Linked DNA regions of Oreochromis niloticus. The protein of the gene in region 1 interacts with the protein of each later gene in a biochemical or structural test. Links are inferred from orthologs where the notes say so. Each region holds a gene or a part of one and is shown on either strand. Other genes may lie near its edges.

Evidence for each region. The genes of interacting proteins can lie anywhere in the genome.
Region 2: the proteins of metabotropic glutamate receptor 7 (region 1) and pick1 form a complex in vitro, tested with the Homo sapiens proteins (2 studies listed by BioGRID, with this or other methods). The link is inferred for Oreochromis niloticus from reciprocal best matches to the Homo sapiens genes GRM7 and PICK1.

Annotation. Positions count from the first base shown.
Region 1 is NC_031984.2:15,464,650-15,471,577, reverse strand, and holds the start of metabotropic glutamate receptor 7, read left to right. Parts: upstream 1-3,849; 5' UTR 3,850-4,846; coding exon 4,847-5,350; intron 5,351-6,928. UniProt on the Homo sapiens protein: G-protein coupled receptor activated by glutamate that regulates axon outgrowth through the MAPK-cAMP-PKA signaling pathway during neuronal development.
Region 2 is NC_031969.2:9,657,642-9,665,579, forward strand, and holds the start of pick1 (PRKCA-binding protein), read right to left. Parts: upstream 3,052-7,938; 5' UTR 2,885-3,051; intron 2,653-2,884; exon of another isoform or gene 2,404-2,652; intron 2,397-2,403; 5' UTR 2,364-2,396; coding exon 2,323-2,363; intron 2,104-2,322; coding exon 1,992-2,103; intron 1,778-1,991; coding exon 1,649-1,777; intron 1,121-1,648; exon of another isoform or gene 698-1,120; intron 573-697; coding exon 506-572; intron 374-505; coding exon 284-373; intron 214-283; coding exon 160-213; intron 38-159; coding exon 1-37. Other genes in the region: galectin-2, read left to right, coding at 3,803-3,811, 3,953-4,032, 4,252-4,423, 4,651-4,797. UniProt on the Homo sapiens protein: Probable adapter protein that bind to and organize the subcellular localization of a variety of membrane proteins containing some PDZ recognition sequence.

The DNA.
Region 1 (6,928 bases):
CCAACGTTTGGATTTTGTCCAGCAAGAACTGCAACAGCTTCTCAGCAGGTTTAAATAAATCGCTTCTACGGAATCGAAACCTCTCTGTCAACTCCTCATCAAGTGCACTGTATGTCCATCGCCAATAAGTATACATCATCTAAAATCCTGCAAGCTGTACAGTCGATACCTGGAGCTTGCTGTTGCCTTTAGTGTTACAAGCTGTGTAGTCTGAGTAGCAACTATAGAAAAAAACTAGATTTTGACTTTAAGCCTGGCTATATCATCTTTCCACTGACTTTATTTTAACCCCTGTTTGTGTCTTTACCCTATAGGCTTTTTGTTTGTTGGGGGGTTTGGTTTTTTTGGACTAACCCAGCCTAAATTTTCTCCTCTGCTTTTAATCTTTATCCTTTGGTAAGATGAGATAAACAAATGGCGGCTGTAGCTTTTTATATTCTTTCACAGGCCTGTCGTATCATCCCCATAAAACAGAAACACAGATGAAGAGGGGCTGTAATGACTCACTGACCGAGACTGAGGATAAAATCTCCTCTTTCACAAGGCAACGTAAAAACACTTGAGATGAAAAAAAAAGAAAAATGTCACAGAGCTGCTCTAAACATTGGCTAATTAACGGACGTACGGCAATAGGCATTTGTTATCACAATCACATTTGTGGCTAAAGTCCTCCTGGCTAACTAACACAGCTGCACCCACTTACCATGTGAGTCCAGTGGAGCATGAAGTTAGCCATCAAAACAAAGGCCCAGTTACCCACTAATAGGGTCTCTGGAAAATTCTTGGCCTCTGTGGGTGGAAGGTCAGCACCTTTGGATTCATTGTTGTCACATATAACACCTTTAGTCATTATCACAACCATGCTGGCTCACAATAAGCAGTAGACACTTGCCTTATATAAGAAAAACAGCTATAGTTTACATTAATATTATACTGGGTTTCCATTTTCTCACTTTGTATTTTTGCCAATGTGCACTTATAATGTAAGCAAACTCAAACACGAGAAAACCAGCTGTCACCAAGCTGCCCACTACAGTTATGTATTCCAGTGGTCACTTGTGCATTATCTGTCTATCTTTCACATTTCAGAGTGTGAATGGGTACTGAGCTCACAGCAGCAGCTTTACAGAGACATAATTAGAAGGGAGAGGGTATGACAGATGGATTACAATCGTAATTGAGAGTGTGGAGAGTCTATCGTCCTAGCTGCACTGCACCTGCTTTGTCTTTGGCATAAACAGCAGACGAGGTAAGAATTTGTCTTCTCATGCAGCACGCCTGTAGAATTACAACATGTCTTTTTTTTGTCTCCTTACAGGCACTATTTCTGGTTACAGTGGTACAGAAAAGCTTGGATAGCCCTGATTTTTATTATTCCAAAGCAGATGGTACAAAATGAGACAAGGGAGCCCAGCAGCTCAGTGACCTTCATGTTGCTAATCTAACAATGCCCCTACATTGATCTAACATTAACACCTCACCCCTCGCAGAATATGCATGACTCCAAACAGGCTGGTGGCCTGTGTGTTTTCGAACAAATCACCTCGACGTGCAATTACCTCCTGCTCTGGAGTTATTTCTTTCCTGTGGATACCGTCGCCCTTTCATTCGAGTCTGGGAATTAAACAGGTTTCCAGGTTAATTAATTTGACAGACAGAGCCCATTGTGCCTAGTGTCTGCCCAAAAAGAAACCTTATTGCCTCTTGTCCTGGATGTTGACTTTTTATTGTTCTTGGATTCGTCGTTCTTTAGTGGAGCACACAGTGCCAGCCCCTGTAATTGACTTGAAAAAGACCGTATCGAGCAGACAAGTTATTGAATGCTTGAAACAAAAGCTCTGGCTTTTTCAAAGGAGACCATAATTTATCTGACAGGATGCCTGTTAAATATTGTGCACCCCTGCCATGTGAAAACTATGACTCTATTTGGTTTTTTGGTCAGCTGTGTATTAAACATAAACCTCTCATTCCTCTTTCTTGTTGCTTCCTACTTCATCCCATGATGAAAGTGAAATGGAATTTGTTTGAGTGCGCAGACACGTGACTCTGTGTCTGTATAAAAGCGAGGAAGGGGAGAGAAAGAAAGGATCCAAACCAAAGTGTAATCTCAGTCTAAATCACACAGCCTCCCCGGGGAAAAGGCCCCTCTTCCTGGGGTTAGTCAGTGAATTAAATCACGGTGAGGGCCCCATTTTTCAAAAGTAACCTTTCCATTGACAGTGTAAGTGGGAGTCTCACCGCCGAGTCCGAGCCGGGGAATTAGTGTCGTGCGTTGCGACACCAGTCTCTCCGGGTGTCATTTGTAAAGGCTGTTGCTGCATTTTTCCAGTCCTGCCTTCCTGTCTGTCTCAGTGTGCTCACTGTGGAGGTGGCCATCTGCCTCCCTCCCCTCTCACATCCCTGGTTTCTCTCCTCAGCAGTCTGTTCCCTGCAGTTCCCACACAGTTTCCTTAAATGTATTTTTAGTGCATCTCATGAATTTTGGCCCCAGTGTACAGTATGTGCACCCAAAACCACATTGGACATGCACGATTTGCCTGTTGAAAGATATTCATGTACTCAGCGTGGCTAATGAAGATAAATACACTACATGGCCGGATTAGGCTCGAATTAATCTCAACTTAATTAATTAGAAATTTGTCCATCCAAGCCTGTAATGTCAATAGGACATGTTTCAATTAGAACTACATCGCCTTTTCTAATCTTTTAATTGAACAGAAACTAATGGAATGAACACGTTCATAAAATGGGATTCCATGCCTCATAATCATTTTCACGATAAAGCAACTCTCTGAGGCTGCTTATTATTCAAAGATAAACCAACTTAAGGGACTTATCCTGTAATCCACTTCCTGTTTCCTGTTTCCCAGAGTGCTGCTGTACTTTGCTTTTCCACCAACAATGTGGATGCTGTTGCTGCATGTGTGTTGGCTGGCTCACGAGTGGTCAGTTTCTAAGGTTACTTGAAAATGAAGGCTTATGCATGAATTATGTATTAACAGAGTGCTCAGCGGGCACCTCTTCTCTCGCTCCCCTTCTCTCCACGTAACCCACTGAACATGTACTCATTAGCAGAGACTACAATGATTATTGTTGTTATTTTGAATGTGCGATTTACTTTGAATGCCAAGCAGAAACTACCTTTTTAATTAATGCCTCAAATTGCCAAGTGAGTCCCTGGCTAATGCATGCCCACAAAAGCAAATTATCATAATCTGCTTGTTTGTAAAAGTACCATCTGTGCAATTAAATAGTTTGGTGATGATAGAGTTTTGTTAGGAAGATGTGAGGCCTCCGTGCTCCTAAAGGTGTGGGCAATTCTCACCAGTCTGTGGACCAGTATGTTTAGCCAGGATGATGATGATGATGTGCGTGTGTGGTAGAGGGTGTTGGGTGGGGGGTGATATGCGTGTATTTGTGGGGGCAGGAGGGTTGCACAGGATGAATCAGGAGTCTTCTGAAGAAGGGTTGCCTTGGAGACCAGCCTGGACCCCTCCAAACGTGTCTGCTATGCTCTCTCTCCCTCCCGTACCTCCCTCTCTGCTCCGTTTTAAAGGTGCATCAGTAATGAATCCAAAACTATTTCAGGAAAGCCACTTTTTAGTCGGCGGGTGAAGCCCTTCATACCTGCAGCTCTTCTGTGTTTTCATAATGCCACAGATCTCTGTTTCATGCCTGCCACCGTCAACATCAAAAGAAAAGAGGGGGGAAAACACTTTTGTGTGTATGTGTGTGTGTGTATGTGTGTGTGTGTGTGTGTATGTGTGTGTGTGTGTGTGTTTGAGGGGGATAACGGAGGGAGGGGAAGTAGGGAGACAGAGATTATAATGCTGAGATGCAGCCACTGAGAGGCACTCAGAGGAACAATTGTCTTATTATTCAAGTCTGTAAGTGCATTTGTTTGCCTTGTTTACCTTCTCTTCTGTCTGAAGACAGTGAGCGCTAACTTCCTGGAAACCTTTCCACAAAGTGATGCTAATCTTTTTTTCCCTTTTCCTTTTTCTTTTTTGCTGCCAGCTGAATGACGTCTCGCGTCGAAAGGGGGCTGAAAACTCGGCGCACACAGTGAATCCCTCGCTGTGACTCATTCATTTTGTATAAAGGCGACCGGTTGCGGAGACTGAGAAAGAGCCGGGGATTTAATTAGCTGGTTTTTCTTAGTCCACTGCTTAATGAACGCACGTTTGCGTTCACACTAACCGCGTTTTTCCTTTTTCTTTTAACCCACCCCCCCTCATTCCCTCCCTCCCTCCGTCATTCCCTCCCCTCCTTTGGAGACTGTGGAGATGATATGCACCCCTGGGAGACAAACACCACAGCCGAGCGAGCCATTCCTGCGCTCCCGTGGAGTTGTTCTGGGGAAGAAGAATGTCACCCACTTCTGCCGGTCCTAAGAAGTATTGATTTAAAGCGATAATTTCTACTACACGATACTTAAATTCTGGGCTTTGGGTTGTGAAGATATGCCAGTTCCTCGCAGCGGTTTCATTGTGTTTCTATTCGCTCTTTGGATTTAGCATAAATGGACAAAATTAGGCCAGATAATTTGCTGCGGGTTTTCGTCTCCTTTCAGTGATATTCTCTCTAACTAATGGATGTAGCCTCCCTTCCTGAGAGCGCTAAATTTCCGTTAGGGGCTTCACTATTCAACAAGCTTAACCGCTCACTCCTGGCTGTAAAACGATGGGCGCAGTTCGCCTGAGCCTTCTGCTGCCCCTTGGTTCCTCAGCCCAGCTTGTTGAATCTCCTCCCTGGTGACAAGAATGGGTTCGTTTTAGCAAACTTCTTAGCCTCTTCTGGTCTCATCATCGGCGGATCGCAGGCTTCTCCTTCCTAAAAGTTGATCATGGCTTGTCCCGGTGTACGCGTGAAGCTGAGCTTTATATGGAGGGTGTTTTGGCTTATGAGGACTGTGATAGATTTCGCGCTGCCTCAGGAGACTTATGCACCCCATTCGATACGGACTGAGGGACACCTGACCCTCGGCGGACTCTTCCCGGTGCATGCCAGAGGAATCGATGGTGCGCCGTGCGGGGACCTCAAAAAAGAGAACGGCATCCAGCGGCTTGAGGCCATGATGTACGCTTTGGACCAAATTAACCAGGACGAGCAACTCTTACCCAACATCACCTTAGGCGCACGGGTGCTGGACACTTGTTCGAGGGATACTTATGCGCTGGAGCAATCGTTAACTTTCGTGCAAGCGCTGATCACGAAGGACACCTCCGACGTGCGGTGCACTAACGGGGACCCACCGGTGTTTGTCAAGCCTGAAAAAGTGGTGGGAGTCATCGGAGCCTCGGCGAGTTCAGTATCGATTATGGTTGCCAACATCCTACGCCTCTTCCAGGCAAGTCTGAGCGTGTGCACTAGTTTTGTGGCTTTAAGATAATCGTATTTTTTCCACTATTGCAGCAGTAGTTTGTTGAATTTGGGGGTAAAAATGCGCTTTGGAGAGGGGTAAACGCAGTTTTTTGTTGCCCAAAAGCCGCTTGAAAGGACAGCAAAAGTGAAACAGCTGAAAACTGTGTCTGAGAAAAAACAATAAATAAATAAATAAATAAATAAGAGAGAATCCATCACGAGCAAGAATCTATTTTCAGATGGTGGTATTGGATTCGATGTGTTCTCACTGATGCCTCTCTCCATCTTAAAACGGGGCATAAAAGGAAGGTGAAGTGAGTTTGGGTGGTTTTTCAATCCACTAGACTGTGTGGATGAGACAGCTGAGAGTGCTGTTGCTTGTCCCCGGTGGTGCTGAAAGAACAGCTCCCGTCTGTTCCAGTCTCACTCCGGAGTCTGGATGAGTGGGCACTGACAGCCTGACACAATCACACCCAAACTCAACAACCCCCTCCTGAGAATAAAAGGCCTGTTTCATATGATTGCACATGATTATATGAACCTCTTGTACGTCAGACTGCAGGCGGTTTTATGAATTGTTTTGAACCTGAAAGCATTGAGTTATGCTTGAGTTTCCTTTTGCTTTTACCTACGGGGGAAGAAGCGGGGGGGGGGGGGGGCTTCCCTTCTGCAAAATGAGCTTGTTTCCATCTCTTCACAGCCTGATTGAGCTCGATGGCTGCAAGTAAATGAAAGGAATTCATAAGACTAATTTCCAAATGGCATACTTGAGCGTATAGGAAAACGTCTCTATTTCTGTTGGCTGAGAGTCAACTGATGGTGTTGGCCCACTGCTGGTGCTGCAGTGAAATGGGAAATGCAGCAAGGCACCAGTACAGAAAGATTAATTATTTAAAACACATCTCCATAGCAAAGTATTTAATTACTCAAAAAAACATGTGCATGCTTTTGCATAATTCTGTACAGTTTTTCCTGTGCGAGGAAAGTGGCATTTAAACTGGGGAGGAGCTGCATGCAGTGTTGGTGCTAATGATTTGTGGTTGCAGATTGTAAGTCAGAGTCTTGTCAGTCAGTGTTTTTGTTCCAGCTCAGTTCGACAAATTGTGTAAGTAGCTGGTTAATTGCATCTGTAAGACAGTCGGAGTACTTAACAAGCTTTTACCCCAACCACCGCCCAGTTGTCTTCCCTTTCTACTCTACAGACACGTACACATGCCACACATTTGTGTCTATATACATATATCTATATACATATTTATTTCTATTTGTTCATTTTTTATATCCGGGTTTTGTGGTTCCTTTTGCCGGACTGATCGTCCCCACCACAACACCACAATCTTCAGCCTAGCTTTAGTTCCTGTTCTCTCTTTGTAGGCTCACTTAATAAATTAAATTTTTATTATTACAAGATCTTCAAAACCCTGCAGTTATGCTTTGAAGCATAACTGCACTTGTTATTTTGTTGCACGGCACGAGGGTTGCAAGAGTTCCTCAGTTTTGTGCAAGCTCTGTAACATAAAAAACTTATGCATTTGTGAAACTGAGAGGGTTTAAAGGGAAGCCA
Region 2 (7,938 bases), on another chromosome or scaffold:
AACGCCCTCAGTAGTCTTTTCGTGTGCTCCATCAGCCCTGCAACGCAAACAGAGAACAACAGGATCTCTGTGGATTAAAAGCTCTCTCATATCTGTGATTATGGAGTTTTCACACTACATGATTAACTTGTTTAGGTAAAGAATCTTATCATTCGTTACCTTTGTACAGCTCTGCCGTTTTCTCCAGCTCTTCCAGTCTTTTGACAAGTCCATCTGCAAAGTACAACGAGTTAAATCTAAGTAGATATGAACAAACCTGCAGTTACCATCCTAGCAGTCTTACCATTGCATAGAATAGCTCTACTGAGTCCAAGAGCATCCGCTGTTCCTGAGCTCAAATTCTCTACAAGTCGATGTTTGACTTTTTTCAGCACTGAAACATATAAAATATCAATGTTTAACACAAACTAACGCAGCAGTGAAAAAGATTTGTTGAGAATCTGAAAGAATGCAGTACACAGCACTGCAGTGCACGCTTCAAAGGAAGTAACATAAACATAAATACCTATGTCCAGAGACTTCCCCTGTTTTGGATCAGCCTGCAGCTTATTGTAGTGGATTACTGCCTCTCCCTGTGAAAATAGGATCAACAGTTAAATAACCCAAATAAATAAATATAAACATGGGATGGTGAAAGGAAGAGCATCTATTGTAGCAGTACTAAATATAAGAAATAGAACTATGTGTTAGCTTTTGTTGAGATTATGCAAGAATGCAGTACAAAGCACTGCTATGCATGCTTCAAAGAAAGTAACATTTCACCTTAGTACATAAGTTAAAATTAATAATGTGCAACATTTATGGTGTTAAGTGTGAAATGTATTTTCAGTGACGGGCAGCAGCAACACCACCTAATCCTTTTAATCCCACACTGAACCCCATCTTTATCCCACCACGCAGGAAGTCATGGAATTTTTTGGGTTGTGAACAAAGGATGCCAAAAACAACAGCGCCACTATTCACCGGTGATGGTACGCCACATGCTACGGGCTATTGTCCCGACCTCTTCAGCACAGCTTAGCAAACCAGTGAAGTCACTCCTACAGTGTCCTGTCTGCAGTGGGAAGGTGGGCTTACACTCATATCTCACTAACTGTTGGACTGTGCTGGACATAAAAAAGTGAGTCATCTTTGAATTCTTTTCAAAATTTCTTTTAAATGACACACAGTGTTTCAACATGCAAGTAAAGCTATGGTTTGGTTCTTTTTTTTATTCATTATGGGGCATTGGTCATCAGAGGTGAGGGTGAGTATGATGAGTCGCTGTCTTTAGGTTTAAAAGATTAAAAACAGGAGTTTAATAATAGAGCTCATGTTAACATCATTATTTCAACAGGGCTGTCATAAGACTTTCACTGCAATGATACTATTATTTTATTCAAAATAATCCATGGAAATAATCATCACATCACAACAACTACCAAAAATCTGAAAAGGCTAATAAAGCTATCAGTCGAATGCATCTTTTTCTTCAGTGTGCATGGAAGTGGTGAGCGTTTTTGTAGCTACAGATGCACAAATGACTGTATTATTATTCTAAACTGTGTGCATTATTATCACACTGGTAATATTCAATGTTAAATAGCAGTTATGGTCAATAGTGTAATGCTGAGTTTTTAATAACCTCCCACTTTCAGAGTCTGTGTACCTGCACAGCTTGAATCATCTTGGCCACCTCCACCTTAGTTTTGCCCTTGACTGCTTTCCCGTTCACACCTGTGATTTCATCACCTGCTGCCAGCGTCCCATCCAAAGCTGCTGGTGTGTTATCAAAGACCTGCAAAGCAACAGCAACCACATTTAAAAAACCGTGACAAAGTACAGTTATTTTTCCTGAAAAAGAGGCGATAAAGCTGCATTTAATGACCCATATGCCAAACAACAGCAAACTGAGACAGATACAGTCTTATAACATTTAAAGCATGATAGAAATATCTGGTTATAGATGACATTTTAATAAATAAAGTCATAATAAATTATTCTGTGTGCACCTGAACAATGTAGAGGCAAGGGCAGTACTGAGCCCCACCACCAATGCTGATGCCTATAAGATTATTAGCATCTTTCTTCAGAGTCACAGTCCCAGGCACTGTTGGTATCCCCCTGTTAAGAGAGAAAAAAAAACACTAAATTGAGTTTTGAAGCATTTTGTTCAGCTTATTCTGGGACATTCTGTAATGAGGGAACTGTATCACAGTTTATATCAAGACATTCACCCTATCAGTTACTGTTTTAGATGTTTAATAATGTTTTATGTTTATAATGTATGAGAAGCATATGTGATTCGCCTGGATGGGTAGAGAAAGCTCATTAATGACTCACAGTTTGTCCTCCTCCAATTCATAGTCCATATCTGTGAACATTGCAGGACAGCGTCACTCCTGTCCCTCAGAAACCTGCGACAGAGTACAATAAAACAGAAATCAAAGGAAGTTTTAACTGGATCTAGTGATCAGAAAACCCAAGAAACGCTCATTAAAAGAGTGACAATCAGAACACGTTTAAGAGTTTGAGCTACCGGCGAATTTGAAAGTAGTCTATAATCAGATGGACTATCGACAATCACCAAAATTGGCAGCTTTGCTTTCCTGATGCGGCAAATTTAATCGCTGTGGAGTCAGTGAGGAAACGCTGGAGCAGAGCAAACAGCTGGTAACCCGCAGTGCATGCTAACATCCTAACAACAACCATTTAAATACGTTTTAATTAATGTAACTGTTGCACTTAATATATCTGCATGCACACACAAACCAGTCACTGTTAGATTTCATTACAGTGACCGAGGTCAGTAAGTTGGATTATTAGCTGCTAGCCTGTAGGCTAATAGCAGGTGTATTTAGCTAATGTTGTCCCCTGAAACGTCAGCAGGCCATTAACAATTTACCTTTCTTAGACGTCGCACAGAGTCGTCATAAAGATATTCTTTAGTGTGCATAAAATCAAAATATCTTTTGTTGAATCGCCCTTTTTATTCGCAATTATCTCAACTTCTCGATCTAAAGACAGCTTCTATTTACTTTATTTTGTCACTTCCGGCAGGATGACGGAAGTTGTTGTTAAGACGTATTACCAAAGGAAGGACTGGATGATCATTTTCTAGTTTTGTCTTAGAGTCTATAATTCCATATTCCTCAGTGTAAATGATACAGATTATTTCTTTTAAACTTCTCATCAGCTCATATGAAAACACTGTCATTGTATTTTCCAGATTTAATCAAAGTCCTTCCAGGATTCACTTGTTTCTAACTTAGACTACGCGTTTTACTGCCATCCTGTGGTTAGAGTGTCAACCTGCACCTGCATGAAATTTGTCAAATATAATATTATTACAGACTGTTTTTGATGGGAAAAGGGATGTAGATTTGACTAATGATCTTGTTTGTAGAAATTTTATTTGTGAAGCATACAAATACAATTGTTGCAAAATAGACTTATTGCATGGGTATGGTACACTAGTATAGATTATTTTGTTCTAGAGTCATCTGCAGTATATTGAAGGCCCTTATTAATGTGCAAAATGAATTCCAATGAAAAATAGAAAAAGCACATTAATTTGTTCATTTACTAATTTGCTGTTACAGGTGATTAAACAGAGTAGTGCTTGTACTGAATATAGTATTTGGCAAAGATGATGATGATGTTGAATGAGTCAGTGTTAAAAGAGAATCTTACTTAAACTCATGTCTTGCATCATAAATAAACTAGAATTCACAGTTACCCCATTTACCTTTTTTTCTCCCAGCACAGTAGACTGTACCTCTGTTGAAACTCCATCATCCAGGACTGTTCACCAGCAACCAGTATGAGTATGGTAAGCTTAGGTTTGTGTATGCCACTACATGTCAGCAAATTAACTACATTTTACCCTTTAATAAATTATTTGCAAAACTGAAAATGCAAAGTTATTTCATTCTCAAGACTTCTTCAGGTTATATTCTAACCATGTGTTCAGGAACTCGAACTGAAGAATGTGGATTTGAGAGCTGGAGATGAGCTGAAAATAAAAGGGGTAATTCTGCATGATGCAGAGAGGTAAGCTAACAAAACTCATTTATTTTTTCCATACAGTAACCATATAAATTGAATGAAAGCTACATATGCTGTTAATCCTGCAGTAGGAAAATCTAATCTAGCACAAAGTGGACTTTTACAAATTATATTATATTTTGTACTCCACTGTGTGATCTATGTGTTCAAAGCTCTGCAAGCCATTGATATTAAAATCAAGTTTGTACAACGTCTGATCAACAGATTCCAGATTGATCTCGGCTGTGATGCAGATGACCTGGCACTGCACTTCAATCCTCGGTTCCATGATGACACTGATGGTGCTGTGCTGGTGTGCAACTCAAAGATTGCTGGTTGCTGGGGCGATGAAAAACGGGAAATTCACAACCCCCTACAGAGGGGTGCTGATGTCAAGGTGAGGGAATGTGATCGAAGTAAATGATGATGTACTGAGTGTCTGAGTATTAAAAATATCACAAAGGTTTTTGATTGGATCAAATGGATATTTGATTTACCCACATAAAACACAAAAAACACACTAATACTCTTGCAGATATTAAGCTGGGCGATGCAAGTTGGGTTGCAATTGATTGTGTCTTGGAAAAAATGTTTACTTATGAATTAATTTTTCTTCTGTTTCAGATTGTGTTGAAGCTGGCTGAAGACATGTTTGAGGTGGAACTTCCTGATGGACAGGAAGTCCAGTTTCCAAATCGTGTTGGTATGGGTACCATCAGCTACATCAGAGTCACGGGGGACTTCAAACTGAAATCCTTTAAGATCTGCTAAGAGATACAACTGTAGTAAACAGATGCTGTGTTTAACACTTTAGTTATAGATGAGGTTTGACTGTCTGAATGTTATTCTTACAATAACAGTCAGTTATTGACTGAAGAATCATTAAGAGATAAAGAGAAATTAATACATTTAAGTGATTTAAAATGTCCTGTTGTGCAAAAATGATATAAAATGTTTACAGTCAAATAATCATGTTTTGTCATCTTTAAGGTTTTGCAGCCTCTCACAAACACAGTATAAGTCGAGGCATGAAAGAGTAAAAGTATGATACAGAACAATAGAAGAAAATGCAAATATATTAGTTCTTTGCTAAATCCAATGACTGATTATTTATAGTTATGTAAACATGCAGATAAAACATGCAGAGAAAAATGGCTCCAAATGATACAAAATGCATGTGGGGCACGAGGGTTCCTGGTTAACACTTTTCTTTGTGGAGTTTGTATGTTACTTGTGCCTCCATAGGTTTCCAGTTTCCTTTGAAATGCATGTTAGGTTAACTGGTGATTTGGTGTACAGGACTGCACAGAGTCCAGTGGAAACTTTCTTTTTCACATGACTTTCATAGCTCTAGTCTGGTCTCTCAAACAGCTCAGAGTGCTTTAGACTCCCTTATTGTTTCAATAGAAATCAGGAGAGTAAGTAGCTGCTCAGTTGGCATATTAAGTGTTGAAGTTCATGACAGTTCAATTAAAAAAAAAAAAAAGATTAAAAGTATAGCGTGCTTGGAATGGTGGTCAGTGAAAGCTTCTTCTACATGGCAACACAGCTTAAGTTAGGAAAGTTTGATGTAAATAAACCACAAGACTTTTAGAACAATTTGAATTAGACAGAAAAGACCAAAGATTTTTGGCCGTAATGCACAACACAATTGGTGAAAACCAAACTTGCCACAGGACCTGGGCACCTTGCAGTCTTTGAGTCACATTATAATTCTGATCATTTAACAGTACATATCCATATAGTTATATATATGTATAAAAACATATCTCATACTTGTGAGACTTCAGAGGTGTAAACATCACAGCAGATGCCTTTGAGTCAAAGTAACTGAGAATAAAACTGAAAAATATGAAGGAGATTTTCCTGGCCTGGCTTTTAATAGCAGATAACCTTAAAAATATTCTGCAGTGGAACAAAAACTGAAGAAAACCATGACTCAACAAATGACCATTACCTGATGCTGCTGAAGTGAAGCACAGCGTCTTTTTGTAGAATCCTTTTACCTGCTCTCATTTGCCGTTTTAGCTGGGTTTTTTTTAAAATTGTTTGTGAGCTTACACCTGATATTTTGGCATTTCTGGCAAAATACACTTATATTTAAAAATCCATTGAGGATTTAATTAATTGATTTCACATTATTCAAACTAAGATTTGGATCAGAAAATCGATAGTTTTTTTTAAAAATTCACTCCTATATATTAGGTAGAAAGTGAATTATTCATCCTCAAATTGATGTGTTAGAAGCAGGAAAAATGTGTAATAGTAAGGATTTGAGTAAGTTTGACAAGGAACAAATTGTGATGGGTAGACGACTGAGTCACAGCATCTCTAAAAGTACAGCTCTTTTGGGGCGTCCCTGGTCTGCATTTGTCAGTATCTATCAAATGTTGTCCAAGAAAGAAACAGTGATGAATCAGTAACAGGGTCATGGGGACCCAAGTCTCATTGGCTGGCTTGTGTATTTCGAGATGAGCTACTTTAAAGCAGATTATCAAAAAAAAAGTTCATGGTGGTTCTGACAGAAAGGTGTCAGAATACACATAACAGTTTGGTGCATATAGGGCTGCATGGCCACAGACCACTCAGGGTGCCCATGCTGACCCCTGTCCAACACAGCACCAGAACTGGACCACAGAAGAATGGAAGAGGGTGGCCTGGTCTCATCAATCAGGTTCTCGTTTACATCACCTGGAGGACCGGGTGAGTTTGCATTGCTTAACTGGGCAACACCTGGTACCAGGATGCACTATTGGAAGAAGGCAAGCTGGCGGAGGCAGTGTGATGCTTTGGGAAATGTTCTGCCGGGAAGCTTTAGATCCTGCCATCCATGCGGACTTTACTTTGACATGTACTGCCTACCTAAGCACTGTTATGGACCATGAACATCCTTTCATGGAAACAGTACTCCCTGATGGCTTTGGCCTCTTTCATCACAATAATGTGCCCTGCCACAAAACAGAAATGGCTCAGGAATAGCATGAGGAGCACAGTTTGATCCTTGATCCATCCACAGAATGATCCAATTTGATCCATAGTTTGATCCAGAGGCAGGGTTAACTATGGTGTCTATTTTAAATGGTCCAATGAAATTTGGTTTGTTAGACTCAGTTTGTGAGAGAATATTTTTAGAGGGAAAAAAAACCTTTTGACCTGCAGCATAGACGGTCCAACAACGATCTGTCACCTGCTTATTCTGTTCTGCTGTTTGCAGCAAGGCTGTTTTCATGTACTTCCACAGATGCCAACAGCAATGAAGATGGAGTGGGATTGATCGAACAGGCAATTAAGGCTAAAAAAGATCAGCAGTTTACCCTAGATAGGCTTTGAATGAACACAACCTGGTGGAAGAGGAGGTTAGGGAATTATGGGCATATTTGACCCAGGTGACCTCCAGGTGGAACTGAAAATATTAACACTAATAAACAGTAAAATACTTGTGCTAAACTAAAAACGCTCATTCATTCTCAAGTCTTCTTCTCATTCTAATAATGTATTTCTCAGCAACTTGAGCTGAATAATGTGGATCTGAGAGCTTGAGCGGAGTAGAAAATAAAAGGGGTTATTTTGAAGGATGCAGAGAGATCCATTGTAAAGATTGTTCATTCCTTGCTCATATCCCTCAACCTCTGGATGCGTTTGGTTGACTTTTAAGTTTTTTAGTTTGTGTCATCTGGTTTATTTTTAACACTTTCAAGCAAAGCTAGAAGCTAGCATAACGTCAGGTTATATTTTTAAGCAGTTTAAAGATATATATTTAAATGAAAAGACTAAATGTCTTTTCCTTCTTTAAAAAAGGGAACATTCTTCATTTTAATGGGCTAATTCTGGCAAATTGTACACTTTAGCATCAACCATCCTCTGCAGAGCAACCCCTGAACCATGAAAAAACTCTCTTTAACTAAATATTGC